Notamacropus eugenii: one gene and its partner. The protein of the gene in region 1 interacts with the protein of each later gene in a pairwise test. Links are inferred from orthologs where the notes say so. Each region holds a gene or a part of one and is shown on either strand. Other genes may lie near its edges.

Region 1 (7,250 bases):
GAATGTGGTCAGACTAAAGTGCCTTCTATGGAAGGTAGGTGGGGTGGGGGGCAAGAAAGGGGCCCAAACTACTGTGCTCATCTCTTTGGGGAAAGCAGGAAAGCACTAAGGCATGAGTGCCAGTCCAAGGCAGATCAGATCTGGGGGTGTTCTGACAGAAAAAGGAGCACAGGTAGAGAGGAGAGGGGGGATGGTATAGTTGATATTTTCATTGGTCAAGGGCTCTGTTTATTCTCAGACCTCCTCCCCTAACCTGAGCCTGTTCTCAGCCTTCTTTTAGCAAGCATATCTATCAGGGGTGAGCACATTATCCCTCATATGATTAACAAACTCTGACTCCTTTAGGGGTGGTGGCAATCAGTCAGAAAAATGAAACCCCCTTAATGTTTCCTACAAGTTTCTTAGGAGCCTGGTGGGGAAGGTAAGGAAGTAGGACCCAGAGATCAGATTAAAGCTTTAACAATGAATAATTGAAAAAGAAGGTACATATGTGGGTCCACGGTAGTGTCTTAGTTGGGAAGCATATCTTTATATTTTCCAGAGAAAGCAAAAATGGTGCTAGTGCTCCCAAATCATTGCCTCAATGCTCCCAAACTTGCTTCACTACTACCATGAACATACAATAGTGTTCTGGACATTTTAGGCAATATGGAAAACCCTTAGGAAGAGGTCCCCTAAGTCTATTGCGTAGCCGGTTCTTTCCATTCCTTGGCCAGATCTTGTATCTCCTTTGCTCTCCATCTCCTAAGGTCTTGGCCTGGTTCACAGCACTAGACCTGGCTGGATAGATAAGATAATCATCTGTCATCTATACCCACCACCCCCTCCCTGCCCCAACTCCCCCAGACCTACTAGAAGGGCAGGCACCAGGCAGCAGCACCTATGTATGTTTAGATGCATAGTGGGGGCAGTCACTGACCTGTGTCCAGGGGAAAAGGATTGATCGGGACTCTGGGGGCCTCTCCTTCCCCAGCGGGGCATGGGATGGAGTGGAAGGTGGAGGAGTGAAGCCCGACTCCAGGCTGGGTAATCCGGAGCTCAGGTTACTGGCTCTGATATATATAGTATCTTATCTGACCTCAGAGGGATGGCTACAGCAATTCACTCACATTCCAGGATCCAGAGAGACTTAAAGGGGCAGTGTTATGCCCACCTAAGGTGGGGGAGGGTACTGTCCCTAATGAGTAGGTACTAGACAGAAGGGTGACTTTAAAAGAACTCAGGGAAGGATACAGTAAGAAGCAGCACAAAAAGGGATTCAATGAAAAGAAAGGGAAAGAGAAAAGGTGGCAGAGTGCACTGGTTGTAGCTTGGGGTGAAAGGAAGCATAGGACTGAAATTATCTGGAGGTTACATGTTTCTAGGTAGAAAAAAAAAAGAGTCCTGTCTGTCAACCCTAAGTGCCATGCTTGCTTCTAAAGTTAAAAAGCAACTCCAAAGCTTTCTTTTATATGTCTACGTATAAATCCCTTGGCTCTCATAACCAGGGCAGGATTGGTCCCACCACCATTGTGGTATACAAAGTAGGCTGAACAAATTCCCAGGATGCCTTAGTCAAGGAGACATCAAGTGTTTGTCCAGGCGTTTCAGACCACTGCTGTTTCCTTTAGGCTTAAAAAAGTGAGAAAAGTACAAGGTCCCACTGGTGCCTAGGCAAATACCCAACTGAGTCCTACTCTTGATGGATCCATTTCATAGGGCTCTGCCTTTATACTAGATATAGAGGGGAAAAAATGGCATTTCTCACCTTTCTAGGCCTTTTTTTTCATCTTGCTCTCCAAGAGTTTCACAGTCCTTGTCGTAGCCCACCTTTGTGTAGGTGTCTCAAGGCACCTGTCTCCACCCTGTCCCAGTTGATGCCACTGACTCAGCACTGGGTCCTGATGATGCACTCAGGTCCTCATTCCAGTCCTCATTCCCTGACCCCAAGGGGGCATGAGTCTACAGCATCAAAGGGGCTGAGTTTCAGCACTTCCAATCACCTGATCCCTCTCCAAGCTTTCCTTGGTCTCCCACAACTCTGTAAGCCTCAGTATAATCTAGGCAATGGGTCGTTTCCTAGTTTTTCTCCCCATCCTCAGTCTCAGCTCTGTACCAGTGAGATCCAGCTCTCTCATCCTTAAACCTAAAGCAAGGTGGAAGTGGGGATGCTCAGTCCTATTCGAGGTGGGGAAGAGTAATATGGGAAAGCACAAACCTTAAAGCACTATAAAAACGTGAATAACTATTAACGTAAAGTTTAAGTTGCTGCTTTAGATGATGGGGGGGGAGGGGGCGGTTATAAAGATACCTCCTCCGGTCTGAGATTGGCAGCAGTTCTCCTCCACTACTGAACTGCTGCCTTCCCCCGGCTGACAGTCAGACCACACTAGCTCGTCTGTCTGTCTGTCTCTTCTCTCTCTCCTCTCTTCTCTCGCCTCCTCCTCCCCTCCCCCTCCCCCCCAGAAAACCCTCCAGGGGGGCAGTAAATGAGCGGCACACAACCTTCTTGTCACAATAGGCTACAACACACCACACGTCCCGCTCCTCCGAAATATACCCAGGCACACGCCACCCAGGGCAGCCTGGTTCCGGGCACGGCAAAGCAGCAGTACTCCGGGCTGGTACCCAGAGCAGGAGCCGGCCTTGGCACGGCGGACACTCCCCCCACGAGTGTCCGAGCCTGAGCCCTGGCCCCGCAGGGTGCCCACCCCCACGTCCCCGGGGTCCGCTCTGGCTCCGGGGGCACCCCGGGCATTGCCCCAGCGGAGGTCGCTCCTTATCCTCCCTCTGCCCCAATCCCGAACAGGTGGCACCTACCTGGTTCTCTAAGGGTGGATGTGCCAAGCCGAAAACAGGCATGGAGCTGCGGGTAAGTCCCGCCTGACACTGGCGCGGCGCAGTGAGCAACAGCTGACGCAGAGGGCTCCTTGGCCCCGGCTCCTGCCCGCCTCTCCCCACCTCCGCCAGGGGCCCCAATGAAGACCTCCCCGGGAGAACAGCGCCACCCAGCGGGGAATCGCCATACGGCATTCCAGGACGGCCTAGCCACGCCCTGTGCGTCCTTGCGTCACTGAGACGTGGAGCACCCATTGGCTCTTTACTATTGTGACTTGATGGAGCTCCTCCCAGCCTGAGTTTCCCAGGCAACTGATGTAAACAGAGCCACGTGGAAGAGAAGCACGCGGGGCGAAAGGGGGTGGAGACTGGAGGAAAAGGAAGAGAGTGTTGCAAAGGTGTAGGAGCAAGAGGATCCATAGGAGTTATGATTTAGAGTCAGAAATGAACTTAAAGACCATGTAGTCCAACCCTCCCGTTCTGCAAATTATTTGGGGGGGAGCAACCGTGAAATCTGAGTTTTTGACCAATATTCTCCCGGGTGCAGATTGCTACAGCAACCAACCTCGCGTTCAGTGGTCCAATCAGCATCCACCCGACTAGCTCTAAGCTTCCTGGAATGGATTCAGGTCATTCATCTCATTAGCAATAAATACATCAGCCTCCCAACAACCTTCGCTGTTACTTTCCACTCAGTCGGAAGATCTCTCATTCCCCTTCAGCTCGGCCCTCCACTTCTCGCTTCTGAAAGGCTCCAAACTGCTCCCCACCGGGGTAATAGAAATGGGTTCATTTGAGAGTGCTCAGAAAAATGAGGCAGGGAGTCTGTGAGAGGAGCTCAGTTAACAGGAGTTGTATGGGAAAAGACTGGGGCAGAAACCAGGAATTTGGATATTTATGTTTTCATCATTCATTCAGCATTTTCTAACGGCTTTGAATGAAAGAATCATTATGGGCTTGCTTGGTGTTAGCGTTTTGGGAACAAAATGCAAAGTAAGACAGTCTCTGTCCTCCAGGAGCTTATATTCTAATTAGGGGGGATAGCAAATATGTTAATGGTGTTCCAGGAAGGATTTTTTAGTTTGAGAGGACATAGGAATGTGGAACCAATAGAAGAATCAATTGGCTTGCCTTGACACATTATGATGTGGTTTGGCTTGCTGGGAACCTGGAAATGAAGGATTCAGGGGGTCTGCCTTGAAAGAATTTGACCACTCAATCCTTCTTTCATTCTAAGTAGCAAGGTTTATTTGTGAGGCCAATAGAAGCCAGCTAGATTCTAAGTGAGTCTGAGCAATGTAGTAGTGAGGGTAAGATTGTTACTTGTATATGAGAAAAGACAGTGAGAAGATATGGATCAATTAAGGAGTGGTGAATGCCTGGGGTGGGCCAGGTGCAGATAAAATCTGGGTTGGAGAGTCACTGTAAAAGGACAGTTTAAAGGATCATTGAGTAGGCAGGCTGGGATGGACCAGATGTCTCCTGCAAAATGCCAGGCTTACATTCTAAAAGGCGAGAGCAAATATACAGCAGAGTGGTGGGCAGGGAGGAACATTTTAATTACAGGCATCTTGAATGGGGCCATATACTCTTGCAGGAACAAATGATAGAACTGATTTAATCATGATTTGTGCTTTCAGCACTGGAGAGAGTGAGAAGGAAAAATGGTATGAGGCAGCTAGGCAGTTGGGGAAGTTATGGAGAAACTGTCTAGACAGTAAGGAATGAAGTGAAATACAGTTGGGGATTTCTAGAAAAAATGGTAGAGCTATTAATTAGGACCTTTGACCTCCCTCCCTTTAATCCCTCCCCCCACCAGGATAGAAGTTGTATCTCAAGCTAGTTATGGGTCCATGAGATGGTTGGAGAGTGCAGATTTGATTATTGATCCCAAAACAAGAAGTAGGAGGGAGTATAGTTCTATATGCAGTGGTATTGTAGGATTCGTTGCAAGAAGAGCGGTGGATGGGAGAAAAAATCCAACGGAATGTGAAGAATGATTTGGGTTATAAGTCTCAACAGGTAAAATGGACCATGTGCTTCCCTACTGGCTGATGTATCAACTAGGACAGCATTGGAGAACTGAGTGGATTAAGTTACAAGTCACCCAGGGTAGATAGAATCCTAGAATTCTTAGCACAGTGCTGGACACACTTAATAAATCCTTGACTCATGGACTAGAATCTTAAATTCTAGGTCATCATTTCAATTTCCAGACCAACCATAGGAATTCCCTGTAAGGAATGTGGGAGAGGTAATTGACCTCTCTGGTTTTTCTTGAATACTTCAAATGCCAGGGAGTTCACTATCTTGAGCCATGTTATCTATGCTTGGTCTGCTCTAATTGTTGGAAGCTTCTTCCCAAAAAAAGGTGGGCTCAAATTTGTCTCTCTATAATTTCCACACATATCTGTAAGTTCTACCCTCTGCAGTTAGTATACTTTCTCTTTCCCTATGACAGCCTTTTAAATAATTGAAACTAGTGATCATTCCTGTTTTAAGTCTTGCCATTTCCATACTAAATATTTAATTTTTTCAATTGATCTTTGAATGACAGCTATTATTAGAGAATACAAAATGGGAACTTCTGGATGGGAGGCAGGGGTGTGCTGGAGTCATCTCCCACCAGCTCTAGAGAACAGATTATTAAATTTTCAATGTGAGCATTTACACCTCGAAAAGCAGCAAACCCTACAAATTAAGGCTTGATTTATTGTTTTATTAATTTTATAGTAAAGAAGTGATAAAGAAAATGTTAATGTAGATTAAATTTAAAAGTGTATTGTATGTACATTTTTTTTTTCCTGGCGTGATAGTTGTTAAACTTTTACAAGCATATCTCTTGGTAGGAGGGAGGAAAAATTAATTCTGATTCAGGGTTGGGGCCACATGGTATAATGAAAGGAAACAGAGTTAGAGTTCCGATCTTCTTAAAAAATATTTTTAAAATAAATTTTTATTCTTATTTTATTTTTTTCAATCACCACAGAATTCCACGTATTCCTCCCCTTCCCTTCCCTATGAGCTATTTTATATAATTAATGGTATATTTTAGAGAGAGGGGAAAAACTCAGCATACTTGTTAATAGTATTTTTTAGAGAGAGGGGTAAAACTCAGCACAGTTGATTGGTACTTGAAAAAGTCTTAAAAATAATGCAGTTTGTAACACCTGTGGATGGTTTGGGACTATTTTCTCATATCTTTTCATTCAAGTTCTATTTGGACTTCATAATTTTGTTCATTTTTACTTTTGATTTTATTCTTTCCATTTACATTATTGTAGTTAATGTGTTTGTGGTTTTCTTGGCTCTGCTTACTTCACTCTGGATCAGTTCATATAGATCTTTCCATGCTTCTCTGTATTCCTCACACACATATCATTTCTCACAGCACCATAGTATTCTATTATGTGCAACTAGGTGGCTCAGTGGATAGAATGCTGGGCCTGAAGTCAGGAAGAGTCTTCATGAGTTCAAATATGGCCTCAGACACTTACTATGACCCTGGGCAAGTCACTCAACCCTGGCTGCCCCTGTTTCCTTATGGGTAAAATGAATTGGAGAAGAAAATGGCAAACCACTCCAGTATCTTTGTCCAAAATGGGGTCATGAAGAGTTGGATACAACTAAAACAACTGAAGAACAACTACATGTATTTCATTACATTCATGAACCACAATTTGTTTAGCCATTCTCCAGTTGATGGGCATCTACTTTGTTTCCAATTCTTAGTTATTACAAAAAAAAATGTTGCCATAAATATTTTGGCACATATAGGGACTTTTTTTCTTGTTGATAACTTATTTATGATATAAACCATGTAATGGAGTCTCTGGTTCCAAGGGTATGGACATTTTAGTCACTTTGTTTGCATGATTCCAACTTTCTTTCCAAAATGGTTGTACCATTTCACAGCTCCACCAATAAAATATTAGCATGCCTGCCTTTCCATAAGGTCTCCAACACTGACTATTGACATTGTTAAAAAAGTCATTTTTTGCAAATTGGTAAATTTGTTTTGAAGTGAAACCTCATGGTTATTTTGATGTGCATTTCTCTATTAGTGATCTGATATACTTTTTCATATGGTTGTGAATACTTGGTGGTTCTTTTGAAATTTGTTCATATCCTCTGACCATTTATCTATTTGGGAACAAGCTATTAGTCATTCACACATATATGTATATATATACATATATACATATATGTATATATGTATGTATTGTACGTGTAGATAATATTTTATATGTTTTGGATACAAACCTTTATCAGAGAAATTTGATACAAAGTTTTCCCTACTGATCACTTCCCTTCTTATTGAGATGCATTAATGCTGTCTGAACAGAGTTTTTCAGTTTCAGGTAATCAAACTTGTCTGTTTTATCTTTTGTAATTGCCTCTAACTCTTGTTTGGTTAAGACTATATCTCCTAT
Region 2 (7,374 bases), on another chromosome or scaffold:
GAATTCTCCCTCTCCTCTCCCTCCCCGTACAAACCACGCTATGAGTTAACGGTGTCACCCAGGGGAAAGGAAATGTGAGGATAGGGGTGCAGAGGGAAGAAAAAACCTGACATATGAGGTCCTAAATGATCCGTTTCGGCACGTCCTGACCTTTCCCTTTCCCTTTCCCCTCCCATCCCCTTCTGACTGAGAGCTACAAAGCTGAAATGAGAGACTAGATGAAGACCCAAAGCTTTATCTATAGGGGAGCTGAAACTGAGGGAAGGAGCAACCAGGACTCCCTCCTTGTCACTAAGGACAAACAGTAAAAGCGGTACAGACAGGCTGACCGACAGACAGATATTAGATAAATCAGCCTTCTTTGGTCTAGTAGCCCCCCGGCAATTGAGCCTCGAATGTGTGAAGGCAGAAGTTCCTTTCCCTCTGGCTTCTTATTGCCTCCACCCATGCTGACTTCCCACCTTTAAACAACATGGGAATCGAAGTTAGTATCTCATAGTGCGTTCCGGGAGCTTTAGGTGACCAGAATCCCAAAACAGCAGGAATTCTCGGACAGTGGACTGAGAGAGGAAACTTACTGAGTATCTGAAAATACACGAAATCCAGACACGTTCAAGCATACACAACTCGTGGACACAACACGACAACTATTCCCCCAGCCACCGTCACCACTGCCACCACCATCATCACCATACACACGCACACAAGCACACCAGCGGAGAACATACGCACTAAAACACAGTCGGGAAGGACAAACTGTCCCCTTCCCAAACACACTCACATGCTGAGAAATCGTGAGAGTTCCAACTCCAAACACTTGGAGGGAGAGTGAAGGAGATAGGAAATATATGGGTGGGGGAGGGGCTGAGGAAGAAGCAGAAGGATGGGGGGGAGAAAGGAAGGAAGGAAGGAAGAGAGAGAGAGAGAGAGAGAGAGAGAGAGAGAGAGAGAGAGAGAGAGAGAGAGAGAGAGAGAAAGAAAGAAAGAAAGAAAGAAAGAAAGAAAGAAAGAAAGAGAGAAAGAAAGAAAGAAAAAGAAAGGTGGCAATTTCAACATACATACTTCTAGCCAAAAGCAAACTCCTAAAGGTGTGACAGAAGAGGTGTTTGCAGATAGGTGCCTACTAGAAGGAAGACCAATAACTGCCATCAGCAGGAAAAGAATAATAAGGGAATAGTGATTTCTTCTTTCTCTTTCTTTCTCTCTTTCTTTCAACGCCAGGGTCCTCTACCCCTACTCTTCAAAAACTCAGGAGGAAGAGGGAAAAGCAGACTGCCTCACTGGCAAAGTGTGCCCTCAAGCTAACTCTCCAGGGTGCAGAAACCCAAACCAGACCCAAAGAGGTTACGCTTAGCAGGTGCAAGTCCTGAGTGGCAGGTAAAAGAAGACAGGTCGGTTGGCTGGTTGGTCCTTAGCTAAAATAAACCGCCAGAGAGTAGACGACATTGATATATATATCTCGCGGGCATAAGCACAGTTCTGTAGCGAGAGAAGCCATTTGTCTCTGCACAGACGTGTAAGCGACCTGTGTGTGAACCTCACCTAGAGAACGTTTGTACTGCATCAACAAAACGTGGCAGAGGGAAGCCAGCTTCGCCCGGGCGCACAGTTACAGAGCCCCCATTACCGGTCCAGGCACTTTAGATGTCGGAGTGTCAGCACCCGGTACCACATTACGTGTACACTTTTGAATACCGGCGCAGATAAATACAGAGCTCCAGAGCATAAGAAACATAGACTGAATCAAGTTAATCGTAAAAACAAATTTATATATCCCTGTGCGACCTCTCTCTCAAAGCTTGGTCCGGTAGGAAAAGAACTGTATAGAATCAGGAGACCTGGATTTGAATTTTGGCTCGGCCACTTAATACTTCTGTAACCTTGGACAAAGCACTCCGCTTCTCTTGGACTCAGTTTCTTCATCTGTAAAATGAGTAGGTTGGACTAGACGGTGTTTAAGGTCCCTTTCAGATCAAATCCTACGAGATCTACCTAGATGTAACGTTCCTGTGCTCGCAGGCAGAAGCCCTAACTCGCAACTTCACGCTTCAGACTCTCCCTCCCCAGCATTCCTTGGTGGGTAGGAATGTGACTGACAGATTCCCTAACGCTGAGGAGTCTCCAGCGGCTCAGGCTGCAGGCATCGCAGCCAAACAGCCTGAGAGAGATCTCCTTCTGTTCCCAGCCCCTTTCCTGGGACCCTTCCTGGGGTCAGCTCCCGGCCTCCCCAGAGGGCCACAGGAACCTCTTGGGAGTTGCGCTGGGAGGAGGGGAAGAAGGAAGTCTTCCAACTTCTCGCCAGTCGGGGTGAAGTTGCACAAACTGGCTCCTTCGAGCTCCGCATCTCGCCTCTTTGGGGGAGATACAAGGCGAAGGCATTCTCCGCCCCCCCCCCACCACCCTTGGCCTTGTTTGGCTCTCCCTCCCCAGGTATCCCCAAACAGCACCTTCTCCACTGGCCTCTGAAAAACTGCGAGCTAGCTGGGATTCCACCGCCTGTCCCCAGCTCAGACCAAGGACAGAGCTTTCTTGTTTGGCCTCTAGCTCCCAAAGCCGGACCCCTCACCCCACTTTCCCCCATCTGCCACTTCCCCTCCGTAATGTCATCCCCAGACTCCTCCCTCTCTCCATTCTGCCTCAACCTTCCCCAATCCTTAGCTCCCACCCGGATCCCTCCATCCCAAGCTCCTCTCATAACCGTGGCTGCTCGTTACCCTCCCTGCACCATGCAGCCTCCGAGGCTGCCAGCTTTCTTTATTATTAAATCAATGAGGGGAGAAAAGGGGGGGTTGTCTTACGTTGCATCGGTACACCGAGGATGTCCGGGAGCCCCTTGACAGACCCTTCCGTGGTGACGGTCGAGCTCTGCATCATCTTGGGCAGAGATGGGAAATAGCTGTCTATGGAAATCTCCCTCCCCTCTCACTCTTTCTCTCTGACTAGATTCAGAAATTTCAAAATTAAAAAAAAGAAAAGAAAAGATAAACCCCAAACGAAATAAGCAAAGTCACAATCGAAAGCCGGTCTCTTCACCCCTCCAGAAGGACTTGTAGACTGGCACTCCCCCCTACCCCCCCTTCCACCCTTTAGACTGTTTCAAATCCCTTTGATCCTGCTCTCCGGGTTAGTGTGTATCCCGGGTTAAGGCGACGCTGTTGCTGCAGCTCTGGCTCTTTTTTTCCCTCCCCCTCCTTCTTCTTTCCTCCCTCCTCCTTCTTCCCCCTTCCTCTCTCCCTCCCCCCTGCTCCTTCTCCACTCCCTCCATCTCCCGCCCCCCCCCCCCCCCCCTTTTCCCAGCTCAGCTGCTGGTCCCTAGAGGCAGTTTTGATTCATTCACACTGCAGGAGCCGGCGTGACGTAGATTTCCGCAGGGAGGCCCCGCCCTTCAGCCAATCCCCTTACATCATGTGGGCAACCTGAGGCCGAGAAGGAACGTCCAAAGGGACCCAGGTAAACCAGGCCGAGGCTGGGGCTCGGGCTAGGGAGGGGCCTCTGGGGCTTGGAGAGGTGGGGCCTCGGAGGGCTTCTCTGGAATGCTCCCTGGGAACCCCGCCCCCCAGGTCCGGCCTGGGTTCCCGGCCCAAGCCTTGTTCTATAAATATTGCAGTCCTCGCTGCTGCGGCATCAGGTGTTTCAGAAATGGAAGATAGTTTTTATTTTATTGGATTGGGTTGGAGTTTTTTGGTCCTAGCGGCTGAAGGAAGCCAGAAGGGAAGGGTTGGTTGGTTGCGAGGGACCCCCAGATTTATGTGCCCAGGTAGACCAATCTATGGTCCCCTCCATTTCTTTGAGAAGAGACTGGGAAGCCCTTTCTATAAAGTGATCAGTTTGGCCCAGCATCCCGACGATGGCCTTTCTTTCACCCACATCCCTGCGGGAGCCTGCTCGGAAGGGATTTCGCATTGTCCATCCTTCACTTCTTGCCCCCTTCCTCTTGGTCCATTCATTTCCCAGTGGTTCCCCATCCCCAGACCTAGATATTCTCTGCGTCTCGTCGTTTCTTCCTTCCTGTCTGGGGTCTGGCTGCGGCTGGCCCAGGGACCCAGCGGAGGGTGCCAGGCTCAGAACGCCGTAGTCACGCCGTTGGCAGTCGAGCTGTCTGGTGACGGCCGGGTCTTGGAGAATGGCAGCTAGAGACTGTGGGTCCTTGGGGACAGGGTGGGACGAGGAAGGTAAGGTCCTGTTCCTACCCTTTCCTCCTATACACACCCCTCCCACGATTTAAAAGGAGGTAGATAGTCTTGGGCCTGCCGCAATCTGCCTCCCACCAGCAGCTCCGGACCGTGCGCCTTCCCCTCCGCGGACCACTGGACTCGCTTTGGGCTGCCCCGCCCCCGCCTTCTCTCCCGTCTACCCTCTCCTATCCCAGCCTGGTTTCCCCTCCTTTCTCCGGACGGGAACACGTCTATCTTTTTCTTTTCCTTTTGTATCTGAGAATCGCAGCTGCTTACTTTGTAAAGTGGAACTCGAACAAGGGTTTAAAAATGAGTGTTCTTTCATGTGTGTTTCTGCCTCTGGGTATAACACAAATCTACGTACAAATACGTCCAGCTAAAAAATTGTAAAGGAAAAACGATCATATTGATAAGCACATGGATTTCTATTTTTACTTACCGTATATACACTAACACATTAAAAACAGATTCCTCATAAGGCGGATTCGGAAAGTAAATAAGATAAAACGCGACGCAACATAATTAATTCTACTCTAATATCATGACGAGACAATCGAAGATACTTCATCTAGTGCCCTGAAATCGATGTAAAATGCGCTATCACTCGGCGAGGGCTGATTCTAACACAATACTCCCCAAAGCTCTCTTTCGGTCTGTTCAGTGGTCAGTCCCTACATGGCTAGGATCCTAGCTGAAGGGTGACGGGAGTTTCACCTAGGGCTCTGGGAGCTGACCAGGGACCAGGTTCTTCCAGATGCCTGCGTTCCGTGAACTTCAATCCCATTTGGCCAAAGGGTCCAAGCTGGGGCGTCCCTTAAAGCCCTAGTGGATCCAGTCCTCTCTGCCACTTCGCCACCCGCACGCGACTGCCCACGACCAACTAAAAAGGGAGGTGAGACCTCCCACTTCGTTTTCTGTCCAAACCCCCGAATCCTCACCCCGAGAGCAGGAATTCTTAACCTTTTAGTCAGTCTGGTGAAGCCTACGGACTGTTACTCAGAAGTTTGTTAAATACAGAAAATAAAAGATTTATAAAGGAAACAAGTTACACCGAAATTTTTTAAGAAAGAAAAACCAAGTCCCTGGATCCGTGGTTAAGAACTTCTGCCCTTGTCTCTCTCCAGGCTTGATGGCAGCAGTGATGTAGGCAGTTAAACGTCTTTGAATCCAAGGTAAATTTCCTACTCTGTAAGCGAAAAAATCATCACCAGCGCTTGAAAGAAGCTGCCGGCCACACCCTCTGAGTTTGCCTGAGGTTCGCCTGGGGCAGCCCTTTCACCAGGTATTTCACCTGAGTAAACAAAACACACGCACTGACCCTAAATCTTGTCTCTTATCCTTTACCCTATTCTAGCATCAAAGAATGCCTCCCTGCGGCTTCCTTTACGTAGACCTCCCATGGCGAGGGACAGCCCTGGAAAGGCGCCTCCTACAGACTAATTCTGTCATCTTTTTCAGACTAGTCTGAGGGAGGCACCTAATATTTACCTGGACCAACTTGAACGTAAAAACAAACCACACAACTAATGCGGCCAGGATCCCTTTGTCGACCTTTGCCTGTGTCATGAGCTCAAGCATCTGATGGTAGGCTAGCATCATTGACTTTAAGAAAGAGATTATTAGTTGTTATTTTCACTTTTTATTATAATAATTTCTACAGTCTTTGCTCTGGTGGGATTTCCATAGATTTGGAGATGAAAGTGACCTCAGACACCACTGAGTCCAACTCTCTTATTTATCAAATGAGGAATTTGAGACTGGCTAGTGACTTGCACAGGGTCACACAGCTATTAAGTATCTAAGGACTAAATTCAATCCCAGGTCTTCCAGATTCCAAGCCCAGTGTCCCATCTACTACATGAAAGTGTTTCTTTTTAACTCTTCACCTGTTATCCCCATTTTTTGACGATGCAGTGAGAAGAAATATGCAACTAGGTGGCTCAGTGCATAGAGAGCCAGGCCTGGAGTCAGGAAAACTCATCTTTGTGAGTTCCTATCTGGTTTCAGACACTTACTAGCTGTGTGACCCTGGGCAAGTGACTTTACCTTGTTTGCCTCAGTTTCCTCATCTGTAAAATAGGCTAGAGAAGGAAATGGCTAACCACTTCAGTATCCTTACCAAGCAAAGCCCAAATGGGGTTATGAAGAGTTGGATAATGACTAAACCAATAGTTTTGCAGGCAGTTTGACAATTAGAGATTGAAAGTCTGTCTTCCACAGTGATTTGTTCTCTTAGCAAGTGAACTAGGTTATTAATTGTGATCTCCCAAATTATCCACACCCATTCAGGGCTGGAGGACAATGTAAGAAGACCATTAACATCCAGCCGCCATAGATAATCATAGAAATTAATTTCCTTACAAACTCTCATTTATATGGCTACCATATATTTTTCTTTTGAGCCTTGGAACAACCTAAAGAAGTAGGTGGTACAGGTATTATTATTCCCATTTTACAGAGGTTCAATGACTTGCCCAAGGCAGTCAGTCTCTTTGTTGGCTTAATTCTTCTGACTCTAAACTCAATGTTCCTTACTTTCCAATGCGCTATAAGGCAATGATGCTTTGTAATAGTGGGAGCAGAAGAGGGAGGACAGGGAGTGACTGTGCATATCAACACCCCATTATATAAAATTTTCAAGTTTATCCCCAAAAAGCTATTACTGTAATCCTTTTCTGGAAACAGGTTGATTTTTTTTTTTTTTTTATAGATTGGCAGTGGCGGGGAAGGAAAGGATGAAAGGATGGAAGAAATAGCTTGAGACAATTGCTAATATAATTTCCCAGAGGCAACCAAAGGTGCAATGGATAGAGTTCTGGGCCTGGAGTCAGGAAGACCTCAGTTCAGATCTGAGGCTCAGACCCCTTACTGTGTGACCCTGGGCAAGTCACTTAACCTCTCCTTGCTTCAGTGTCTTCATCTGTAAAATGGAAGTTATAATAGCACCTATCTCTCAGGACTGTTGTGAGGAGCAAATAAGATAATATTTGTGAAAAGTACTTAGCACAGTGCTTGGTATAGTAAGTAATAAATAAATACCTATTCCCTCCTCATTTGATCTTAAGCTTCTTAAGACCCAACATGATTTACTGCAGGGCTTTTAAAAATCTTTTTGATATTTTGATAAAGGTTTCAGTATAATTAGTCTCCTTTGGAGTCCTATTTACTTTTTTCTACTCATTTAAAAATATGATTCTGA

What was found. The genes of interacting proteins can lie anywhere in the genome.
Region 2: the proteins of USP2 (region 1) and LHX4 interact in binary tests that used the Homo sapiens proteins (3 or more experiments, as listed by UniProt). The two-hybrid records come from large-scale screens. The link is inferred for Notamacropus eugenii from reciprocal best matches to the Homo sapiens genes USP2 and LHX4.

The regions. Positions count from the first base shown.
Region 1 is NC_092876.1:279,334,585-279,341,834, reverse strand, and holds the start of USP2 (ubiquitin carboxyl-terminal hydrolase 2), read right to left. Parts: upstream 3,013-7,250; 5' UTR 2,800-3,012; intron 1,942-2,799; exon of another isoform or gene 1,748-1,941; intron 1-1,747. UniProt on the Homo sapiens protein: Hydrolase that deubiquitinates polyubiquitinated target proteins such as MDM2, MDM4 and CCND1. Isoform 1 and isoform 4 possess both ubiquitin-specific peptidase and isopeptidase activities.
Region 2 is NC_092873.1:465,382,661-465,390,034, forward strand, and holds the start of LHX4 (LIM/homeobox protein Lhx4), read right to left. Parts: upstream 3,019-7,374; 5' UTR 2,875-3,018; coding exon 2,799-2,874; intron 1-2,798. UniProt on the Homo sapiens protein: May play a critical role in the development of respiratory control mechanisms and in the normal growth and maturation of the lung. Binds preferentially to methylated DNA.